Arabidopsis thaliana: one gene and its partners. Each later gene encodes a partner of the first gene's protein in a complex. Each region holds a gene or a part of one and is shown in the gene's direction. Other genes may lie near its edges.

The links.
Region 2: TAF13 (region 1) and TAF11 share a complex: the UniProt entries of both Arabidopsis thaliana proteins name them as parts of the TFIID complex.
Region 3: TAF13 (region 1) and TAF4B share a complex: the UniProt entries of both Arabidopsis thaliana proteins name them as parts of the TFIID complex.
Region 4: TAF13 (region 1) and TAF15 share a complex: the UniProt entries of both Arabidopsis thaliana proteins name them as parts of the TFIID complex.

What each region holds. Positions count from the first base shown.
Region 1 is NC_003070.9:578,722-582,852, forward strand, and holds TAF13 (TBP-associated factor 13), read left to right. Parts: upstream 1-1,903; 5' UTR 1,904-2,024; intron 2,025-2,348; 5' UTR 2,349-2,362; coding exon 2,363-2,465; intron 2,466-2,556; coding exon 2,557-2,594; intron 2,595-2,775; coding exon 2,776-2,835; intron 2,836-2,922; coding exon 2,923-2,997; intron 2,998-3,093; coding exon 3,094-3,198; 3' UTR 3,199-3,589; downstream 3,590-4,131. Other genes in the region: AT1G02670 (P-loop containing nucleoside triphosphate hydrolases superfamily protein), read left to right, coding at 1-70, 174-296, 475-591, 700-804, 926-1,078, 1,158-1,246, 1,329-1,409, 1,506-1,578. UniProt on the Arabidopsis thaliana protein: TAFs are components of the transcription factor IID (TFIID) complex that is essential for mediating regulation of RNA polymerase transcription. May be involved in polycomb repressive complex 2 (PRC2) mediated repression.
Region 2 is NC_003075.7:10,951,740-10,955,618, forward strand, and holds TAF11 (TBP-associated factor 11), read left to right. Parts: upstream 1-1,800; 5' UTR 1,801-1,961; intron 1,962-2,039; 5' UTR 2,040-2,052; coding exon 2,053-2,369; intron 2,370-2,439; coding exon 2,440-2,527; intron 2,528-2,615; coding exon 2,616-2,715; intron 2,716-2,797; coding exon 2,798-2,925; 3' UTR 2,926-3,337; downstream 3,338-3,879. Other genes in the region: BAM3 (Leucine-rich receptor-like protein kinase family protein), read left to right, coding at 1-732, 857-1,185; AT4G20290 (uncharacterized protein), read right to left, coding at 3,420-3,845. UniProt on the Arabidopsis thaliana protein: TAFs are components of the transcription factor IID (TFIID) complex that is essential for mediating regulation of RNA polymerase transcription.
Region 3 is NC_003070.9:9,642,801-9,649,197, reverse strand, and holds TAF4B (TBP-associated factor 4B), read left to right. Parts: upstream 1-1,821; coding exon 1,822-1,863; intron 1,864-1,873; exon of another isoform or gene 1,874-1,982; coding exon 1,983-2,049; exon of another isoform or gene 2,050-2,319; coding exon 2,320-2,552; intron 2,553-2,642; coding exon 2,643-2,744; intron 2,745-2,996; coding exon 2,997-3,057; intron 3,058-3,187; coding exon 3,188-3,894; intron 3,895-4,120; coding exon 4,121-4,245; intron 4,246-4,397; coding exon 4,398-4,485; intron 4,486-4,570; coding exon 4,571-4,709; intron 4,710-4,801; coding exon 4,802-4,857; intron 4,858-4,943; coding exon 4,944-5,000; intron 5,001-5,079; coding exon 5,080-5,202; intron 5,203-5,291; coding exon 5,292-5,342; coding exon of another isoform or gene 5,343-5,357; exon of another isoform or gene 5,358-5,426; coding exon 5,427-5,586; intron 5,587-5,695; coding exon 5,696-5,847; downstream 5,848-6,397. Other genes in the region: STZ (salt tolerance zinc finger), read left to right, coding at 213-896; AT1G27710 (Glycine-rich protein family), read right to left, coding at 6,010-6,397. UniProt on the Arabidopsis thaliana protein: TAFs are components of the transcription factor IID (TFIID) complex that is essential for mediating regulation of RNA polymerase transcription.
Region 4 is NC_003070.9:18,628,006-18,633,952, reverse strand, and holds TAF15 (TBP-associated factor 15), read left to right. Parts: upstream 1-1,913; 5' UTR 1,914-2,074; intron 2,075-2,252; 5' UTR 2,253-2,290; coding exon 2,291-2,395; exon of another isoform or gene 2,396-2,411; intron 2,412-2,505; coding exon 2,506-2,834; intron 2,835-2,950; coding exon 2,951-3,148; intron 3,149-3,743; coding exon 3,744-3,827; intron 3,828-4,203; coding exon 4,204-4,285; intron 4,286-4,398; coding exon 4,399-4,522; intron 4,523-4,938; coding exon 4,939-5,135; 3' UTR 5,136-5,398; downstream 5,399-5,947. Other genes in the region: AT1G50290 (uncharacterized protein), read left to right, coding at 5,691-5,947. UniProt on the Arabidopsis thaliana protein: TAFs are components of the transcription factor IID (TFIID) complex that is essential for mediating regulation of RNA polymerase transcription.

The sequences.
Region 1 (4,131 bases):
GTATATTCAGGCTGGGACATTGATGAATAACTATGCACATATATTTGGTCTTCTTATCCGACTGAGACAAGTGAGTGGTATCGATAGTTTTGTTGTTCTATTTACAAGCCAGTGCATGTTTTGGATGATATAGGTATATAGATTTCTGATGCATTTTCTTGCAATTTTTTCAGGCTGTTGATCATCCATACCTGGTGAGTTATTCTAGTCCTAGTGGCGCTAACGCTAACTTGCTTGATGCGAACAAAAATGAGAAAGAATGTGGTTTCGGCCATGACCCTTCCAAGGACTACTTTGTAAGTGTTCCAGTCGATATATTGTTGCTATTTCATACTATCTCGACTCTTGTTTCTCAGTAACTGTATCTTCTGGAAATAGCTGCCACCATTTTACACTTTCTTAAAGAATCATCGGATGACTAATGTTGGACTTAACTTGTTCGGTTAATATGTCTTTGGTTCTCTTACTTTGAAGGTGACTTCTAGTGAACATCAGGCAAGCAAGACAAAGCTTAAAGGATTTAGAGCCTCTAGCATTTTAAATCGGATAAACCTCGATGATTTTAAAACAAGTACAAAGATTGAGGCTTTGGTATGTGCCCTTTGAGATCTACAGCTTCTGTCTCTCCCACGCTTAAAGTTTCTTTGGAGATTGGAGGCTTTATCTAACCATTTGGTGATAAAAAAAATTTGTATGCAGAGAGAAGAAATCAGGTTCATGGTTGAAAGAGATTGGTCTGCCAAAGCAATAGTATTCAGCCAGTTCACATCATTCTTGGACCTGATAAGTTACGCCTTGGGGAAGGTAATTTCAAGCGCAACCAACTACAAAATGCTACTACTACTATATCTGTGCTCCTTTAACATTCTCTTTAATCATAATGAGACATTGAATAAAAATGATTGACTCATTTTGTACAACGCAGTCTGGGGTTAGCTGTGTTCAACTGGTGGGAAGCATGTCCAAGGCAGCTAAAGATGCTGCACTCAAAAATTTTAAAGAAGAGCCAGATTGCAGAGTTTTATTAATGAGCTTGCAAGCTGGAGGGGTTGCTCTAAATCTAACAGCCGCTTCGCATGTAAGAAGTGTACAACTTATAAAACAGTTGCTCCTAGAACATGTTTTATTCACTGACATTCGGGTGTTTGATTGTATAGGTGTTCATGATGGACCCGTGGTGGAACCCAGCGGTTGAGAGGCAAGCACAGGACAGAATACATAGGATCGGACAGTGCAAGCCTGTCAGGTTATATTTTTGAGTTGTCCTTCAATATACTGTATGTTGTTTTGGTGGGGGAAGAAAGAAGAAACATTTGGTTGTGTGACAGGGTTGTAAGATTCATAATGGAGAAAACAGTAGAGGAAAAGATACTAACGCTTCAAAAGAAGAAGGAAGATTTGTTTGAAAGGTTTCTTATTTTAAACGATACGCTTCTCTCAACTTTGCTGGTTTCTTATTGTCAACTGTATGAAGCCTATATGAAGACATATTTGCTTTGTTACAGTACGTTAGGTGACTCTGAAGAGGCCGTTGTACAAAAGCTGGGAGAAGACGATATCAAGTCCCTGTTCGCATAACCAAATCTTGTAGATGAAGAACATGATAGAAAATTTGTATAGATAGAAAAAAGAGTCTTGACAGGACAAAATTAGGCTCAAGCTAAAAGATTTGATACATACTTGTGTAATATGATGAGCACCGGATAGATTGTATATGAATCGGATCACAAACTTTTCCTTCTCCCGAAGAATATTGAGCATGAGGCCATGGCCGGTTTGAGCCATACCGTGAGAACTTAGTTACAATGTCGGTCGACTAGTGTACGGGTTTCTGGTTTAGATTATGGGCTGGTTTAATATAAATGGGCCTATTTATTAAGCCCAATTACTTCGTATGTAATGCAATGTGCTTCTTCTACGAGAGAGAGAGAGATCAGTGAACAAGTCCCCGTTTCTTCGTTCTCATCATCTTCATCGCCGATTTTGCAACGACCACCTCTGCTACTCCCGTCGATCAATCTACGGTGAGCTCTCTGCTCTCACTATTCCCTTTTCAATTTTCATTCCTTTTCCATGACGACAAATATTTGGATAAAGAACCTTATTCGATTTAACTCCGTTGGTTGTTGTACTGTACCGGAATACAACTTTCCGGTAGCTCTCTGGTTTTGATTGCGGTAGAAATCTAGAATATAGGCTCGGAATTTCATTTTCTAGTTGAGATTACACTGTTTTTTCTTTTTTGAAAATTTTCACCTAGGGTTAGTATTTGACTCAATTGGATTTTGTCGGTAGAGGAATTTCACTTATTTTTCTATTATTTTGCTCTCCTGGATTTTGATTATCAGAAGAAGAAGAAGAGATGAGTAACACACCAGCAGCGGCGGCGTCATCATCGTCTAAATCGAAAGCTGCGGGAACTTCTCAGCCACAGGAAAAGCGCAAAACTCTCTTTCAAAAAGAATGTAAAGTCTTTAGTTAAAACCAGATTTTTGTATTCTTCATTTTGTGATTCTTCTGGTAACAATGGTTTTGGTGCTTTTGTTGATTTTTCAGTGCAGCATATGATGTATGGATTTGGCGACGAGCAAAACGTAAGCCGCTATCCTCTTCATTACTATTTTGTTGCCATATGAACCGTATTTGTAGATATAGTTTCATTCCAATACAAGTAACGAATTAGGTAGAGAATCTTTGCTTTAAAGGGTTCTTGGTCGTGTAACATCTTTTAGTGTTTTACCACCTGAAACTGATCCAAAACTCCTCTGTATTTAGCCTCTTCCAGAGTCTGTGGCGCTTGTAGAAGACATTGTTGTGGAATACGTCACAGATTTGGTAGTGAGCTTTTTCTTTTTGTGAATGATTCATGTTTTACATTACAAGCGGAGAGATATTAGCTAACAAGTGATGTTTCAATGGCAGACACATAAAGCTCAAGAAATTGGTTCAAAGCGAGGAAGACTTCTAGTTGATGATTTCTTGTATCTTATCCGCAAGGTAAAAATTCTTTTTAAAAAGTACACAATCGATGATTGAGATGGTTTATGGTTTTGTATTCTATATCCGAAACTTTGGCGTCTTTGATTTATGCAGGATTTGCCAAAACTGAACCGCTGTAGAGAACTGTTGGCGATGCAGGAAGAGCTGAAACAAGCACGCAAAGCTTTTGATGTCGACGAAAAGGAACTCGTTGATTGATCTTGCTTTTCCTCAACGGGAGGAACAAATGCTAGGTAAGAGGAACCTCATGGATGCCGGACTAGGGACAGCGTTTTAGGTTGTAATCAGAATTCGAAGCACAGTAGCAAAAAAAAAGTGTGTTGACTTAAAAAAGGTGAAAAAAAATCTTGCACAAGGCCGACTCATATTAAATGTAGGCCCATTAGAAGAAAGCCCATTATCTAGCATCCCGTATATATCTACGGACGACCTTTAATTTTTCTTGAGTCAGGAATTTCGAAACCCTAAAAATTTAGAATAACCACCCGATTTTTGTTTCTTTCATTAAATTAATTACCGCAATAATTATAAAATTAGTCATCATTATAAGACTTTTGTTTTTCTCTAAATTTTTCGTCATCTTTCTGATATTTTGATTCATTATTTTACCATGGAAACAATAAATAAGAATGGTGATCAATTACCAACTAAAGAAAATCATTGTGATCAATTAGAGATAGAGCAAATAAACAACACGAGCATGAAGAAGAAAAAGTCATCACGTGGGATGCACATGTTCTCCGTCGTCATGTTCATGCTTCGTCGCCGCCGGGGAGAAAACCCTTCAACACCAGGTTCTGGCGGCGAGTCGTTAAGTCCGTACGTAAACTCCGTTTCGAAATTACGATAATGCCATCGTCAACTTTTACTAACACAATTGTTCTCCCTCCGGCTCCTCCTCCTCTGCCAGCGACAGAAATGGGAGGAGACGATGGTGATAATGATAATGAAGATGATGATGATTCCGAGGGTCGTTTATCAGAGACTATGGAGGTTTTCACGGCGGCTTCATCTTCATCATCATCAGGAATCTCGGGATATGGATCAGCCATGTCCTTATATGATGATGATATTGATGAGGAAGAAGATGAATGTTATAGTGATGTGGAAGGAGGAGACGATATGATTGAT
Region 2 (3,879 bases), on another chromosome or scaffold:
AGCTACTTAACCAGAACAACGCAAGATCCCGAGGTGAAATCTCCGCAAAATTCAAGTTGTTCTTCGGGTTAGGCCTACTAGGGTTTTTCTTGGTGTTCGTCGTTTTAGCTGTGGTCAAGAATAGGAGAATGAGAAAGAACAACCCGAATTTATGGAAGCTTATAGGGTTTCAGAAGCTCGGTTTCAGAAGCGAACACATATTAGAATGTGTTAAAGAGAACCATGTGATTGGGAAAGGCGGACGAGGGATTGTCTACAAAGGGGTAATGCCAAACGGAGAAGAAGTTGCAGTCAAGAAGCTCTTAACCATAACCAAAGGATCATCTCATGACAACGGTTTAGCCGCAGAGATTCAGACATTAGGTAGAATCAGACACAGAAACATAGTGAGATTGCTCGCTTTTTGTTCAAACAAAGACGTGAATCTCCTTGTTTACGAGTATATGCCTAATGGTAGCCTCGGAGAAGTCTTGCACGGGAAAGCTGGAGTGTTTTTGAAATGGGAAACACGGTTGCAAATAGCGTTGGAAGCGGCTAAGGGGTTGTGTTATCTTCACCATGATTGCTCGCCACTTATAATCCACCGTGATGTGAAGTCAAACAACATCTTGTTGGGTCCTGAGTTTGAAGCTCATGTTGCTGATTTTGGGCTTGCTAAGTTTATGATGCAAGACAATGGAGCTTCCGAGTGCATGTCCTCGATCGCTGGCTCGTACGGCTACATCGCTCCAGGTACATGACTGATTCCTAATACTACTTTCTTGTATCACACGTAACATTCAAACTTAGGATTTCAGTACTTCTAGTTAAAACGTATGATTGATCTTAGCCCATTTTATCCGTTTCTTGAATGCAGAATATGCATATACACTGAGAATAGACGAGAAGAGCGATGTGTACAGCTTCGGAGTAGTGTTATTGGAGCTGATTACGGGTCGAAAACCAGTAGATAATTTTGGGGAAGAAGGGATAGACATTGTGCAATGGTCAAAGATCCAAACAAACTGTAACAGACAAGGTGTGGTGAAGATCATTGACCAGAGATTGAGCAATATTCCATTAGCAGAGGCCATGGAACTGTTCTTTGTGGCAATGCTATGTGTGCAAGAACATAGTGTTGAGAGACCGACCATGAGAGAGGTTGTCCAGATGATCTCTCAGGCTAAACAGCCTAATACTTTCTAAATGCAGTGATGTTATATATATAAGAGACTAAATATATATTTTTCTGTTTTATGTGTTTCATAGAGTTTTGTTTTTAGAATTTGTAATGATGGTTTGGTGGTGATATGAGTTTATATTGAAATTGAGGAGGAAAAAAAGGGTTAGCATTATATCTTCCTATCATAAAGTATCAAGCAAAACTAAATAACATTTGCTAGAAAATTATGAATTATGTGAAAGATTTGAAAAAATAGATAACTGTTCTTTGATTCATTTGGAATTATAAAAATCATGATGACCAAAGAAAAATGTTGAAATCACTCAAGCATTTGATTTAACATATGATTATCCAATATCTATAGAAATAGTTAGCATTTGAGTGTTTTTACTTTTTAGTATCCAATTCACTATCATTGATATTTTTAATTTTGTTGTCTAGCTCGATTTATAACATTTGGCTAGTTGTAAATCGTTATCCCAACATTGTATTCCAAAAAAAAAAACCAGTTAGTTATTCAGTGGTTTTGAACTGAGCCCAGCCCAAATCCAATGATGTGGTTCTCGAAACTTTTTGGGTTGGTTTAACAAAAACCGGTTCAGATCTTTTCTTTTGATCCACCAATTGATTGGACTAAACCGACTTATAACAGTCGCTACACTCCTATAGAAAAGCTTGAAATTGAACACAGTCGATGAATTTTCCTCTCCGCCTGGAAGATTGTGGAGCTCCCAGTTGTTGTTAACAACGGTCTAGAGATTCGTGTCTCTTGAAATTCGATCTGAGTTTCACCTTCAAGGTTCGTCAATGATCCGTAGCAATTTGCTTCGTTCTAAACCCTAATTTGAGATCTCAATTATGTGATTTTTTCGTTTAGGTTTTAATCAGGAATGAAGCATTCAAAGGATCCGTTTGAAGCAGCGATTGAGGAAGAGCAAGAGGAATCGCCACCGGAATCACCCGTTGGCGGAGGAGGAGGAGGTGATGGTAGTGAAGACGGACGAATTGAAATCGACCAGACTCAAGATGAAGATGAGAGACCTGTGGATGTTCGCCGTCCGATGAAGAAAGCTAAAACCTCTGTTGTTGTTACTGAAGCTAAGAACAAAGATAAAGATGAAGATGATGAAGAAGAGGAAGAGAATATGGATGTTGAGCTTACTAAATATCCAACTAGTTCTGATCCTGCTAAAATGGCCAAAATGCAGTGAGTCTTTGTAGAATTTTGATTGTTCTTCATGTTTCTTTGATGATTGATTGTTTGTTGAATTCTTCAGAACCATATTATCGCAATTCACTGAGGATCAGATGAGTAGATATGAATCTTTTAGGAGATCTGCACTTCAAAGACCACAGATGAAGAAGGTATATATGTTATATGATTTGTGGTTATCAACATTCTTAATTTTGTTTCATTGCAAATATGAACCATTTAGCTTTTATGTTAATGCAGTTATTGATAGGTGTCACTGGTAGTCAGAAGATTGGTATGCCAATGATTATTGTTGCGTGTGGTATTGCAAAGATGTTCGTTGGTGAACTCGTTGAAACAGGTAAGCCAGTGCAAAAATTTCCAATGATTTTGTTTATGTGCCAACAAAGCTCATTTACTGAACCTCAATACATTATCTGTAGCTCGAGTTGTTATGGCGGAAAGGAAAGAATCAGGACCTATCAGACCTTGTCATATCAGGGAGTCTTATCGGAGACTAAAGCTCGAAGGAAAAGTGCCTAAAAGATCAGTTCCACGCCTTTTCCGCTAGTCAACAAGAGCCAAAAGAGAACTTATATCAGCCTAAGACTGGGGAATTTACCAATGCTGCTCAAGGATAAGGGTCTACGGCAGGTTTAAGCTGGCGAGATTTGCCTATCAATCTCATCATAAAGGAGAACTTCTTTGGCTTCCCTGGTGGATCATATTGTTCTTTGATGTTCTTAACTTTGTGTGACAACTTTTGTAGTAAATCAATCTTTGGATACAGACCCTGAAATGGCTATCAGTCTTACGGTTTGGTTTTTATTTGGTTTACGTTTCCAGTTTTCATTTTCAATACAAGATCAATCTTTGACTACAGACCACATGGCCTAAAAGTGGCAATCCGGTTTACTAGGTTGGATTCGGTTTCATTTCCGGTTTTATAGAATTCGAAATCAAATAAAATCATTTGTAATCCGGTTTATTTGGTTAAATTTGGCTATACCTAAAAATTGGTTTTAGTATTGATTCGTTTTTGGTCGAACATTACAAGAACTGGGTTTATAAGTTCAAATTCAAATTGTGTATTTCTTCGGCGTGATTGAAAACCGTCGCGATCAGAATTCGGTCTACTGTCAAAATTGGTACGGAGACGTTTTGAATCACACAAGTTCCGGCGAAAGAGGATCTAGTGGGCCTGATAATGGGCCGATCTCGAAACGAACTATTACGTGAAGAGAAGAAAACAAAGTGGGTTGCGAATTGAAAGTCTACAGAAAATAAAAGGACTGGATTGGAAAAATAAAAAGAATAAAAGAAGTTTTGACACAATAACGCACCCACTATCTTTCTCCTTCCCTTCCGCCTTCCTTCTTCTTCTTCTTCTTCTTCATCCTCCTCACTGTTTAACGCAGAGCGCCTCCGTTTCTTCTCTTCTCCTCCTCTCTCTTTTCTCTCTACACAAATATTTTTCCCTTCTTTTTTCATTCTCTTTATTCAATATAATCCTTTTGATTCGCTG
Region 3 (6,397 bases), 9.1 Mb from region 1:
AATATAGTAATTATCTAATCGCCACCTTCACTCTTCACACTTTCCTACCACTTGTCACGCAACTTCCTTCTCCACACTCCACCTACTACTATATATTTACACACACTTTCATTACTTCTTCTTCAGCAATTAAACAATTTCTTCACTGCAATTCACAAGCAACCTTCAAACTAAAACTCGAGAGACAAGAAATCCTCAGAATCTTTAACTTAATGGCGCTCGAGGCTCTTACATCACCAAGATTAGCTTCTCCGATTCCTCCTTTGTTCGAAGATTCTTCAGTCTTCCATGGAGTCGAGCACTGGACAAAGGGTAAGCGATCTAAGAGATCAAGATCCGATTTCCACCACCAAAACCTCACTGAGGAAGAGTATCTAGCTTTTTGCCTCATGCTTCTCGCTCGCGACAACCGTCAGCCTCCTCCTCCTCCGGCGGTGGAGAAGTTGAGCTACAAGTGTAGCGTCTGCGACAAGACGTTCTCTTCTTACCAAGCTCTCGGTGGTCACAAGGCAAGCCACCGTAAGAACTTATCACAGACTCTCTCCGGCGGAGGAGATGATCATTCAACCTCGTCGGCGACAACCACATCCGCCGTGACTACTGGAAGTGGGAAATCACACGTTTGCACCATCTGTAACAAGTCTTTTCCTTCCGGTCAAGCTCTCGGCGGACACAAGCGGTGCCACTACGAAGGAAACAACAACATCAACACTAGTAGCGTGTCCAACTCCGAAGGTGCGGGGTCCACTAGCCACGTTAGCAGTAGCCACCGTGGGTTTGACCTCAACATCCCTCCGATCCCTGAATTCTCGATGGTCAACGGAGACGACGAAGTCATGAGCCCTATGCCGGCGAAGAAGCCTCGGTTTGACTTTCCGGTCAAACTTCAACTTTAAGGAAATTTACTTAGACGATAAGATTTCGTTTGTATACTGTTGAGAGTTGTGTAGGAATTTGTTGACTGTACATACCAAATTGGACTTTGACTGATTCCAATTCTTCTTGTTCTTTCATTTTAAAAATTATTAAACCGATTCTTTACCACATATTTTACAAACGCGTTGAGTCTTTTTTTTATCTGAATAAGCATAAAGTGACACCACTACAACTCTGTTTTTGGTTCTGTTTTTTTCAAAAAATTTATAACACAATTAAGCATAATCAAGAACGTTCTAGTTTCTACTACCATCCACATATTGTTCTTTCTTATATTTTGGAAAGCTCTAAGCAAATAAAAAGAGTTGTGATATCTTACGGAAGACTGCCAAAGAAAACTCAACTTTCATTTTTCTTTTACCAAAAGAATACCGTAACTTTCAATTGAAAAAAGCCTTTCTTGACGGGTCGTTTGTTTTCTTTAGTAGCACTGTTTAATTAACGTAGATAATCCCTTCTTTAATTTGGTGAATTATCTACGGGAAGTCCAAAACTCAATGGTCATAAACGTGTATCAAAATTCATCTAAAAGTTAATTAATTTTTTTTTGCAAAAGTCTGATGCTAATATGAATAACTGTTTAAGAACTCCAACATTATATTCAAGAAAAATAAATTTTGATATACAAGAACAAGCCCAGTTACCGAAAAGAAGAACAGAACGGCGCGCAGTGTTTTATCCAAAAGAAACAACTACCGAAAAGAAGATCAACAGAACGGCGCGCAGTGTTTTATCAAAAAGAAAAAACGACACGGTGTTCTCGCAGAATCTCCCTTTATATAAAAACTTGCGGAATTTGGAATCTTATTGGATACAACAAATCGTTTCCTTGAAAATTCCCTCTTCGTTTTGAGCTATTGACGTTTGGTACCGCGAGATTCCTCCATGGATCTCTCCATTGTCAAGCTCCTCGAAGAAGACGAAGAGGTTAGGTTTCGAATTTCCCACTCTCATTTTCATTTCCGTACTGTCTGCGAAAATCCACGCGCTATCTTGTTCTGTGGACGAAGCTCCTAAATGTCGATTCCCGCTAATCGTGTCGTTAGGTTGACTCTAAGCATTCGGAAGATGACTTGCAAATGTTTCAGGACTCTCTGATTCGAGATATTGAAGGTTCGTTTTGGACCCTAAAATTCATATGCGAAACTGTGGAATGTATCAAAACAGGGAAATGCCTTTAGATTTCTTTAGTGATTTAGGTTCACGAGTCGTATTTTTGTGGTTTGTCATGTATCTTCATGTTTCACTTGATGTTAACTGTTGAATGTTGATGGATGCAATTAGATTGTTAGTTCTTGATGATGCTTTAGTGACGGTTAGTCATAGAAAAATATTAGAGCATACTCATAATTGATTTTGGTGCTTGAACTCATGTGCCCCAAGGAAGTAACTTGAAGTCTATAAACAATACTACTGGTAATGAATCAGAAAAACCGCAACCTCGGTATATGAAACTGCAGAAGATGAGTAGCAAAGAGACTCCTTGGGTGGAAAAGACTGTTGACCCTGTGAATCATAATCTTAGATTAGCACGAGTTACTGATTTGCTTCGTACCGTGGTAGACCACCAACCCGGCAAAAAGACGCATTGTCTTAACCTGCATTATAAACTCAAGGTGTGGCTTTACAGTTTACATCCATGAATGAATTGGCACTCTGATCGAAGTTTCTTAATACATTACGTTTCTTTTCATACTTGATTGCAGAGAAAAGAACTTACAATGGAAGAGTTCATGCGACAACTGAGAGATCTTGTAGGTGATCAGATAATCAGATCGGTAATTAGCCAACTGCCTCAGTTAAAACCGGTATTACCCTTTCCATTTTCTTAGCATTTATAAGTACTTTAATGATTTTCATTTAGCAGCCTCCAAGAGAGTTTCTTGTTTTATATGCTTCCTTCTCTGTATATGAACATGTGCTGAGAAAGAAATCTCACTTCTGAACCTTATTAAAAAGGAAATAACATAAAGAATTCTCACTTTAATAGTATAAGCTGAATACTTCTTGTCTTGGAATTGTGGCTTACTGGTTTCAGAATGAACTGTATGTGTAACCAGGGAAATATGGGGATCAAAGTACCTGGACGCTCAAACCATGACAAAGTGTCTAAATCTGCTGGTATAACTTATTTAGTTGATGCCATTTACTTTTGCAATTATCATAGATCATCTTAACTTTCTGGTAGATCTTATCTTATGATTTCCTTGTAGCATACAAAACTAATCCCAGATACAATCATTAACTGCAGAATTCACTGCTCAAGAATCTGATCCTCGTGAAGTTCATGTTAACCAACTGTCTTCTACAACTTCAGGCACCTTAAACAGTTCAACTACTGTGCAGGGATTAAATAAGCATCCCGAGCAACACATGCAGCTTCCATCAAGTTCTTTTCATATGGATACCAAATCTGGAAGTCTTAATCCATACCCAGGGACAAATGTCACTTCTCCTGGTTCATCATCGAGAGCAAAGCTCCCTGATTTCCAGCATAGGGAAAACAATCAGAATGTGGGAATAGCCAGTGTTGGAGGACCAACCAAGTCTACAATAAACATGACGACAGTACCCAAGTTTGAGAGGCCAACTTTTGTAAATGGTCCAAGTAGGGTTCAGGATGGTCCTATATCCGACTTCCCAAAGAACTCATCCTTTCCTCTATATTCTGCTCCTTGGCAAGGATCAGTCACCAAGGACCATACAGTGGGACCTTCTTCATCAGTGATCCATGTGGAGCATAAATTGATTGATCAAAGTTTTGAACAGGCACATAAACCTCGTTATTTGGTGCAGCAAGGCGTGACTAATGTTCCACTGAAACAGAAGAATGCTATTCCAATTAGTTCAAATGATGACTTGGAGAAGCAGTCTTCTAAAATGGGTTTATTCACATCAACCACTTCTGCCAGCTCTGTTTTTCCTTCAATGACAACACAGCTGGACTCTAGCACGATGGTAACTTATAAATTATACTTTCAAAAGACAGATTTCAATTTGGTTGATCTTCTCTTTAAGCTCATAGGGGGACCATTTCTCTTCAACCGATGTTGCATTTGGTTTCGTTTTGCTTATATTTTGGACCACCCTGGCTTCTATTTCTCCTTGTACTGGCTTCGAACTTTGGTTGTGAAGAGTAAATGGACTATCTATCTTACGTGAAAATTATTTGTGTACACTTCAGGTTAATATGCCTGCCCCATCTGAGACCATTCCCAAGATTGCTAATGTTACGGTGACACCCAAAATGCCTTCTGTTGGTCAGAAGAAACCTCTTGAGGCACTAGGTTCTTCGCTGCCACCATCAAGGTAATGAGCTGGCTGGTTTGTGAAAGATGAACTACTTACAGCGTCCATAAATTACTCTTCCTTTTTTCTTTGCTTTTCTGATAATATCCTTTTTACCTTACTAACAATTTAGAATTGCTAAATTGAAGTCTTATGTATTTTTTAATATACAGAAAGAAGCAAAAAATATGTGGGACTTCTTCAGATGAAAGTATTGAAAAGTTTAATGATGTCACTGCAGTCAGTGGCATCAATCTCAGGGTATGTTTACGAGTTGCTACACTTCTCATTTTGAACCTGGATATAGAGAAACAATAAACCAAATTACTTTCTGCATCTGTTCTAGGAAGAGGAAAAACAATTATTAGATTCTGGTCCTAAAAAGAACGATCGTGTTTCTAAAGCATATCGAAGACTTGTGCATGGAGAGGAAGAAAGAACGCTTTTGCAGAAAATTCCACTGCAGAGAAAGCTGACAGAAATTAGTTTGTGTTTCAACTCGTATCTTAGCTGCTTCTTTGGTCCTTACTTGGAATCACTTGGAGAAGAAGTTTATGTATGCTTTCATATATGACAGTGGGAAAAAGTGGTTTAAAGCATATAGACCATGATGTAGAGCGGTGCTTGTCTCTGGTGAGATGTTAACACCTTTTCTTGGAATTATTAGCCTTCAATTTCCTGTTTTTGTTTTCGTTTTTCTCATGGCTTTGCGCATTCAGTGTGTGGAGGAGAGGATGCGAGGACTACTGTTTAATATAATACGAATATCAAAGCAGGTCAGTCTACTTTCTCTTCTCATGCCTCCTTAGATCTTGTTGTACCTAAATCTTTCTGAAGTTACAAGAGCTTTTGCAGCGGACTGATGCAGAGAAGTGTAGAAATCGGACTTTTATCACATCTGATATCCGGAAAGAAATTAATGAAATGAATCAGAAGGTGAAAGAGGAATGGGAAAAGAAACATTCTGGAGAAGAAAAGGTAATGGTTTGTCCTGAGCTTAATATCTATTTGTCTTAGTTATCAGTAGTAATGTCTAGTTTTTTTTTTTTGTATATTCATTGATGTAGAACAAAGAAAATGATACTGAAAAAGAAGACCAACGTTCAAACGAAGTGAAGGTATTTAGAACTTGAGCCAACTACCTAAACCTTTGGAGATATACACATACGTACACTGAAAGAGGTTTATTGATCACAAGTCAGGCAAATAAGAAGGACGAAGATAAAGAGAGAGCCAAGGCTGCAAATGTTGCTGTTCGTGCAGCCGTTGGAGGAGATGATAGGTTTTCAAAATGGAAACTTATGGCTGAAGCACGTCAGAGATCTTCTCCAGGGCCAGGAAGAAACTCCAAGAAACTTTCTGGTAAGATTGGTAATCCCGTTTCTATGATCTGAAAGAGTAAATCTCTCAGTTCTGTTGCTGGTTATTCTTGTGTTTCGTGCTCCTAATTGCATATTCGAACTTTATGTAGGTGGTACACAATTTGGGAAGAACCAAGGTTTACCAAAAGTAGTCCGGTCAATCTCTGTGAAGGATGTGATCGCTGTGGTGGAAAAGGAGCCTCAGATGTCAAGATCGACGCTATTGTATCGCGTATACAATAGAATCTGCTCGGATGTTTGAAACCAAGAAAAGACATAGGACCAATTCTTTATTTTTTTTTGTAGAAAGGTTCTTATTCCATTAAAACTAATGCCATTACAAACTCCTAAACATGATCAAGATGCTAAAGTACATCCTTATTTCTTCTTCCTTTCACTACCTAAAGCAAGCTGCATGTTTTTTCTAGTTTTTGCCTGATCCCTTCGTGCTGACTCCGCCGTGTCCATATCCTCCTCCACCACCACCGCCTCCGCTGCATGAACCTCCGCATCCTCCACCACCACCGCCAATGATGACTCCACCACCAATACCTCCTCCACCACCAATACCTCCTCCACCTGACCCGTATCCTGGACCACCACCTCCGTTGCCTCCATCCCAACCCAAACCACCACCTGAACCATACCCGGCACCTCCACCAAATCCACCACCGATTACAACACCACCACCGCCGCCACCTGGACCGTATCCACCACCACCATATCCCGGGCCTCCACCGCCGTAGCCACCAGCTGTGAGTTCACCCTTAAATCCGGTTACGTGTCGGATACTCTTTCCAATCTCACTGGAG
Region 4 (5,947 bases), about 18 Mb from region 1:
TAGTAAAAAATTGATTGAATGTTTATTCAACTCTTTTAATTTCTTCAATTACGTCAACCATTTGCACTGGTTTGTCAATTACAGCAATAAGATTTTTCTCTGAAAACTCATTACAAGAAAACTTGTTCTATTCTTTAGTGAGTTTTTAATCTACTAATTATATATATGAAAGTTAGCCAACTCTCTCCATATGATTGACACATCATCACTTTAACATTTGCCATGTATCCACTGAATAATTAATGTAAGCTCTTCAACTTTTAATTTATAGATTAATGATGTATTTATTATTTAATTTTACATATTTAATTGTACTAATACTAAATTTATTTTGTTATTAAATGTTTTTCAATAAAATAATTTGATTGATTTTCTCATACTCAAAAGATTTTTTTCTGTAATCTTAACTCAAATTATGAGTGTATAGTAGTCATGGATTAATTAATAGTTTGAATAGTTTGCATATTGTTATATATCTATATAATAAATCGCCGAGGGTGAAGAGTATGTAAGAAGTTTAATCATCAAATTCTTAGGTTTCGAGAATCCCAATATTACCTTCTATTTAATTAGTTTAAGACGAACATTGTTTAGGAATTGTGTGTATAATGCATTGTTGAGAATGTTGTTAGAAAAAATATATTTTAATATTAAGAATAATTACTTATTATATAAGTAAATGATTAGATAATTAAAAATTATATTTAAATTAAACGATACAAAAAATTTAAAAATACCGCAGCGTAGCGCGGGTGATTACCTAGTCATAGTAAAATTAGTAGTGACAGATTTTAAAAAATGACAAGCTTATGCTAGTAACTTTACAAAATAGATAGCATTATATAAATATTTTACTGTAGTATGAGTCAATACTTTTTTAATTATTAATTTAGTCAATATATGTTAGATGCAAATGTATTTTTTTTTATTGACCAATACTTTGGTAGTATAATATTAGTAGTATTAGATATTATTGGCTATAAATAGATTCAACATTGAAACACAAATCATATATATGAAAGAAGACTAACTCTCTCCCACAACTTGACACATAAGCACATGAGAGCTTGCCACCTAGACTTCATAAAATAAGTAATACATAATTAGTAATTAATTCAACATAACAACTAAAATAGGAGAATATAATTAATGAGAACTTGAACCATCACTCTTTCTACATTTTTAATTCAATATATCCTCTTTAATTTTGAGATCCACTTAAGTGGCTAAAGTGATGATAAAATCCAAACATGTTACACATATTCCTGGCCTAAAAATTAGACGATTATTATGAAAGAAACTAAATGAATATGCAGATTAAATATATCTAAGCTTTTCGATATTTATGCTAAGAAAACAGGTAATTTGAAAGATATTTGAGGAGCTATCCTTATAACTAATACGTAAGATATAAGATTATGACAAGAACTTAACTAAACTTTCTAAGAATATCGAGTTGAATATGCTTAGATTGAATATGCAAAGACATGATTAATAAAGACATGTTATATTTTTAGTGTAAGAAATAATTTTTCTAAAATTTCACTGTCTCACAATCTATACATATAACTAAAAAAGCAAGGATATATAAATTCAAAAAAAAACTAAGAATCTAAAACAACAATAAAAAACAACTCAAGCACATTCGTTTTTCAGATGAACTAATATAGTTGGACTTTTCAAAAACAATTACAAAACATATTTATGTTTCAAAACCTATGCATTCAACTTTACTTTATATAAACAGACATTATATAAAACAATTAGTAAATAGTAATACGTAAACCCGCACGTAGTGCGGGTACTCATCTAATTTGTAAATTAATAATTCCTCAATTTGCACCCAAAAAAAGAATTCCTTAACCACGAAAAAAATAAAAAAACAAAATTACAATTTAAGGGGGAAAGTTATATGAAATTGCAAATATAACCACCAAACAAACAATCGACTATCGAGGTTACCCTTAAGAAAATCTTTATTCGCAAGATCTCTCTCTCTCTCTCTCACTCGACGCACTTTAGAAAGAAACCCTAGTCCGACGACCTCTCCTTCGCCGCTGAATCCTCATCGCTGGTCAGATTTCTATCTATCTCGCTCTTCTATGTTTCCCTATCTCGTTGGTCAGATTTCGAATCTTCTTTTTGTTCTCATGGTTTTTGAGCTCAAAACTTTGGGGTTTCAATGTCTCGATGTTATTTCTTAGCGAGGTTTCAATGTTGGCTAAGTGAAGTTTTGGTATTGTCATTTACAGATTCTTGGCGGCTTTCTTTTTGATGAAATTGGATTACGATGGCTGGATATCCTACTAATGGATCAGTCTACGTTTCAAATCTCCCCTTAGGAACTGACGAGAATATGTTGGCTGACTATTTTGGGACCATTGGGTTGCTTAAGGTATGGTATTGGCCAGGTACTAATTGTTGCTTTTGTTTTGACGTCATTGCAATCTTTTATAGGTCACTAGATTTTCGAGTTTCTTACATTTTTTTCTACATTGCTTTTAGAGAGACAAACGAACTGGTACTCCTAAGGTATGGCTGTACCGGGATAAAGAAACTGATGAGCCCAAGGGAGATGCTACTGTTACCTATGAGGATCCGCATGCTGCTTTGGCTGCTGTTGAATGGTTCAATAACAAAGATTTTCATGGAAACACCATTGGAGTTTTTATGGCCGAGTCGAAGAATAAAAATGCTGGTGATGCAGTTGAGTTTGTTGAATTCGATGGAGGTGCTGAGGAAACAAATGGAGGTGCTGGAAGGGGGAGGGGTCAGGCTGATTCTTCGGCAAAGCCATGGCAGCAAGATGGTGACTGGATGTGCCCTAATACAAGGTCTGTGATGTGATATCGGTGAGGAGCTTCATCTAGCTCTTGTTTCCGTTAATTTGCTAGTTTTTATATATTTTATAGTTTCTAGCAGTAGTGTTCTCATACTCTTTCATTGGCAGTTGTACAAATGTGAATTTTGCATTCCGTGGGGTTTGTAACCGCTGTGGAACTGCTAGACCAGCTGGTGCATCTGGTGGCAGCATGGGTGCTGGTCGTGGAAGGGGTCGAGGTGGAGGCGCTGATGGTGGGGCCCCGGGGAAGCAGCCCAGTGGTGCTCCTACTGGTCTCTTTGGTCCAAATGATTGGGCTTGTCCAATGTAAGCATTCCGATTAGGTTTGAAATAGTTAGTTCAGTTTCAGAGGATAATGAGCGTTTGGTACTTGATTAAAACACATCGCAAGAAACAATTTATATTCAGTAGCAAAAGAGAACATTCAGATGGCATATAGCGTTGCTGGATATAAAATTAATTTGTCTTATGTATGGAAGGAATATAGCTTGTATATCAATGCTTTTGATGATGTCAGTTGACTCTTTACTTAGAAAGAAGTGATGGCCCGCTCTGCTGTGCTGTGTCTCTTAAACTGGTCCAAATTATGTGTGGAGGCACATATTTTTTCCTTCTTTTTTGAATGTTGATTCTAATTTCGTAATTTTCCTTCAGATGGCTGTTAATCTGAAAAATGTAATTTGAAACGTGGGTAGGTTGTAGTCTTGATCCTTCTAAGAAGTTATATTTGTGAAGATAGGCTGCCTTCAATTTTCTGTGTCTGATACAAAAAATGGACTATGTTTTAGTTTAATTGCAAGTTATGCTATGTGTCATCGAGTAGCTTAACTAAGAGGCTGCACTGTGTGAATGTGAGTTCTTATGCATAATGCACTTTTTCTTTTTGCGCTAATTCTTTCAGGTGTGGCAATGTCAACTGGGCGAAACGTCTAAAATGTAATATCTGCAACACCAATAAACCTGGTCAGAATGAAGGTGGTGTGAGGTATGACTCAAAGCCAGTGATAAGATTGCCTTTGTATTGTTATCTTGCAATGTTCGAGCTGAGGATTTGGATTATAAATGATTTTACAGTGAATGTAGGAGAGGTCGTAGATTTTCTGTTCGATGTTTGTAGTTTTGTTGTCAGCAGGGTATATTTATTCTGCTTTTAGACAGGGCCTAATAGATACCTGGGAAAAAGTCTCAATACTCTCTTCTGCAATTTGAACGAGTGCTTGTTTTCTTCGACAATTGATTTATCCCACTTGTAATGTTTTATTTTGGCCAAATTAGAGTTGCATTAAGAAACATTAAGGTTTGAGTTTGGAAGGTTGTTTTTATCTAGACCAGTGCTTATTCATTTTTTTTTCTCTAAATAGGGGAGGCCGTGGTGGTGGTTACAAGGAATTAGATGAACAAGAATTAGAGGAAACGAAGAGACGCAGGCGTGAGGCTGAAGAAGTAAGATATGCTTTTCCTGAAGAGTTCTTTGTTTTTTGTTTTTTTGTTGCAATTCGGATGAGCTCTCAGTTTTTTGTATATTCCATTTGACTTATACGTCTAATATATTTCAGGATGATGGTGAAATGTATGATGAGTTTGGGAATCTAAAGAAGAAGTACCGTGTTAAAACAAACCAAGCTGACACCAGACCTGCTGTTGCTGCTGGTCGTGCTGGGTGGGAAGTCGAGGAACTAGGTAAGTTCTGTTTAATTTTAACTAATATGAACTAAATCTATGCAATCATCAAATAGGTTGAGCTTATGAACAGAACCTTTCCACTATAATAGAGATTTATTTGGCTCGATCTATATCTACTCTCTGTGTATAGTCTTCAAAGAAAGTTTCTGCTTGTCATCTAGACACTTGAGTGAAACTTAACATATATGCGGGGAGGGATTTGTTTGAAATTTTACATTAAGCTTGCAGCTAACTTGCCTATAGCCCAAGCCTAGTGGGGATCTCCAATAAACAGTGTTGTTCCTTGTTAGAGTTTTCTTCTTTTCACTGAATAGATATAGAGGAAGATAGAAAAGAATGTTTATTGCTGCTTCCCCAAAAATAGAAAGGTCATGATCCAATGTAGTTGTTCATAATTTATATGAATGTGGCAGGTATTGATAAAGATGGAAGAGAGAGAAGCAGAGACAGGCAAAGAGACCGTGGTAGAGATCATCACTACGATAAGGATAGACGCAGAAGCAGAAGCCGAGAGAGGGAAAGAGGCAAGGAGCGTGACTATGACTATGACCATGATCGGGACAGAGACAGAGACTACGGTCGCGAACGTGGAAGCAGGTACCGTAACTGAGAGATTACTCATAAGTGTTAGGGTTTAGTTTCTCATCTGTTTTGTCGACTTACTTTTACAACGGTATCATTACAATGTCTTCGCCTTTTGTTTACTTATTGTGTGAAGTGAAACTCATTTTGGTTTGAATCAATGGCTATTGTTTTTCACTTGTTTTGGTCTGATTATGTTCTGAGAATACTCCATGTTTATCGTTTCGAAAATTGGTAATTATGGCAAAACATGGTTAGCGACGTCAATTGCTAATTTAGACGTGTATTAAGTATTATTTTGTCTTTTGTAGTATTATTTTTAGTTGTCCCTTTGTTTTTTTTTCCATCGCCAATCATTTCATCGCTGTATGATTTTAATGGGAATAAAAAAAATAGAACAAGAAGATTTTTGTGGACAATATAGTTTCTGAAACTATAATAGGATAAGAAAAAATTAAGCTTATTTGTGGGGATATATATTAATGTCATATCATTGTCATAAACATGGTCGGCAAAACTTGGGACGGCAGTTTACCAGAATAATCCGGTCGACAGAATTCAACAGTTCCTCTCTCTAAAAGATATGAAGGAGATTAATTTTGGCTTTGTTAGCAAAGATGGCCGGTCCTCTTCTGGCAAATCCGGCTTTTACAAGCGGTTTTGGCCGGCTTTTATCCTTCCTCCGCCGTTCGATCGGTTGTTCTTACCGATTGCTTTAGTTTCTTTTTCAGTTTTTCTTTCAATAATTTCTAAAGATTTCAATTGGAGATTAATTTTAGGTCATAATAGCCTAAGATTAAGTTTTCGGATTTGTATCTTTAGAAAGTTTGATTTGCAGAA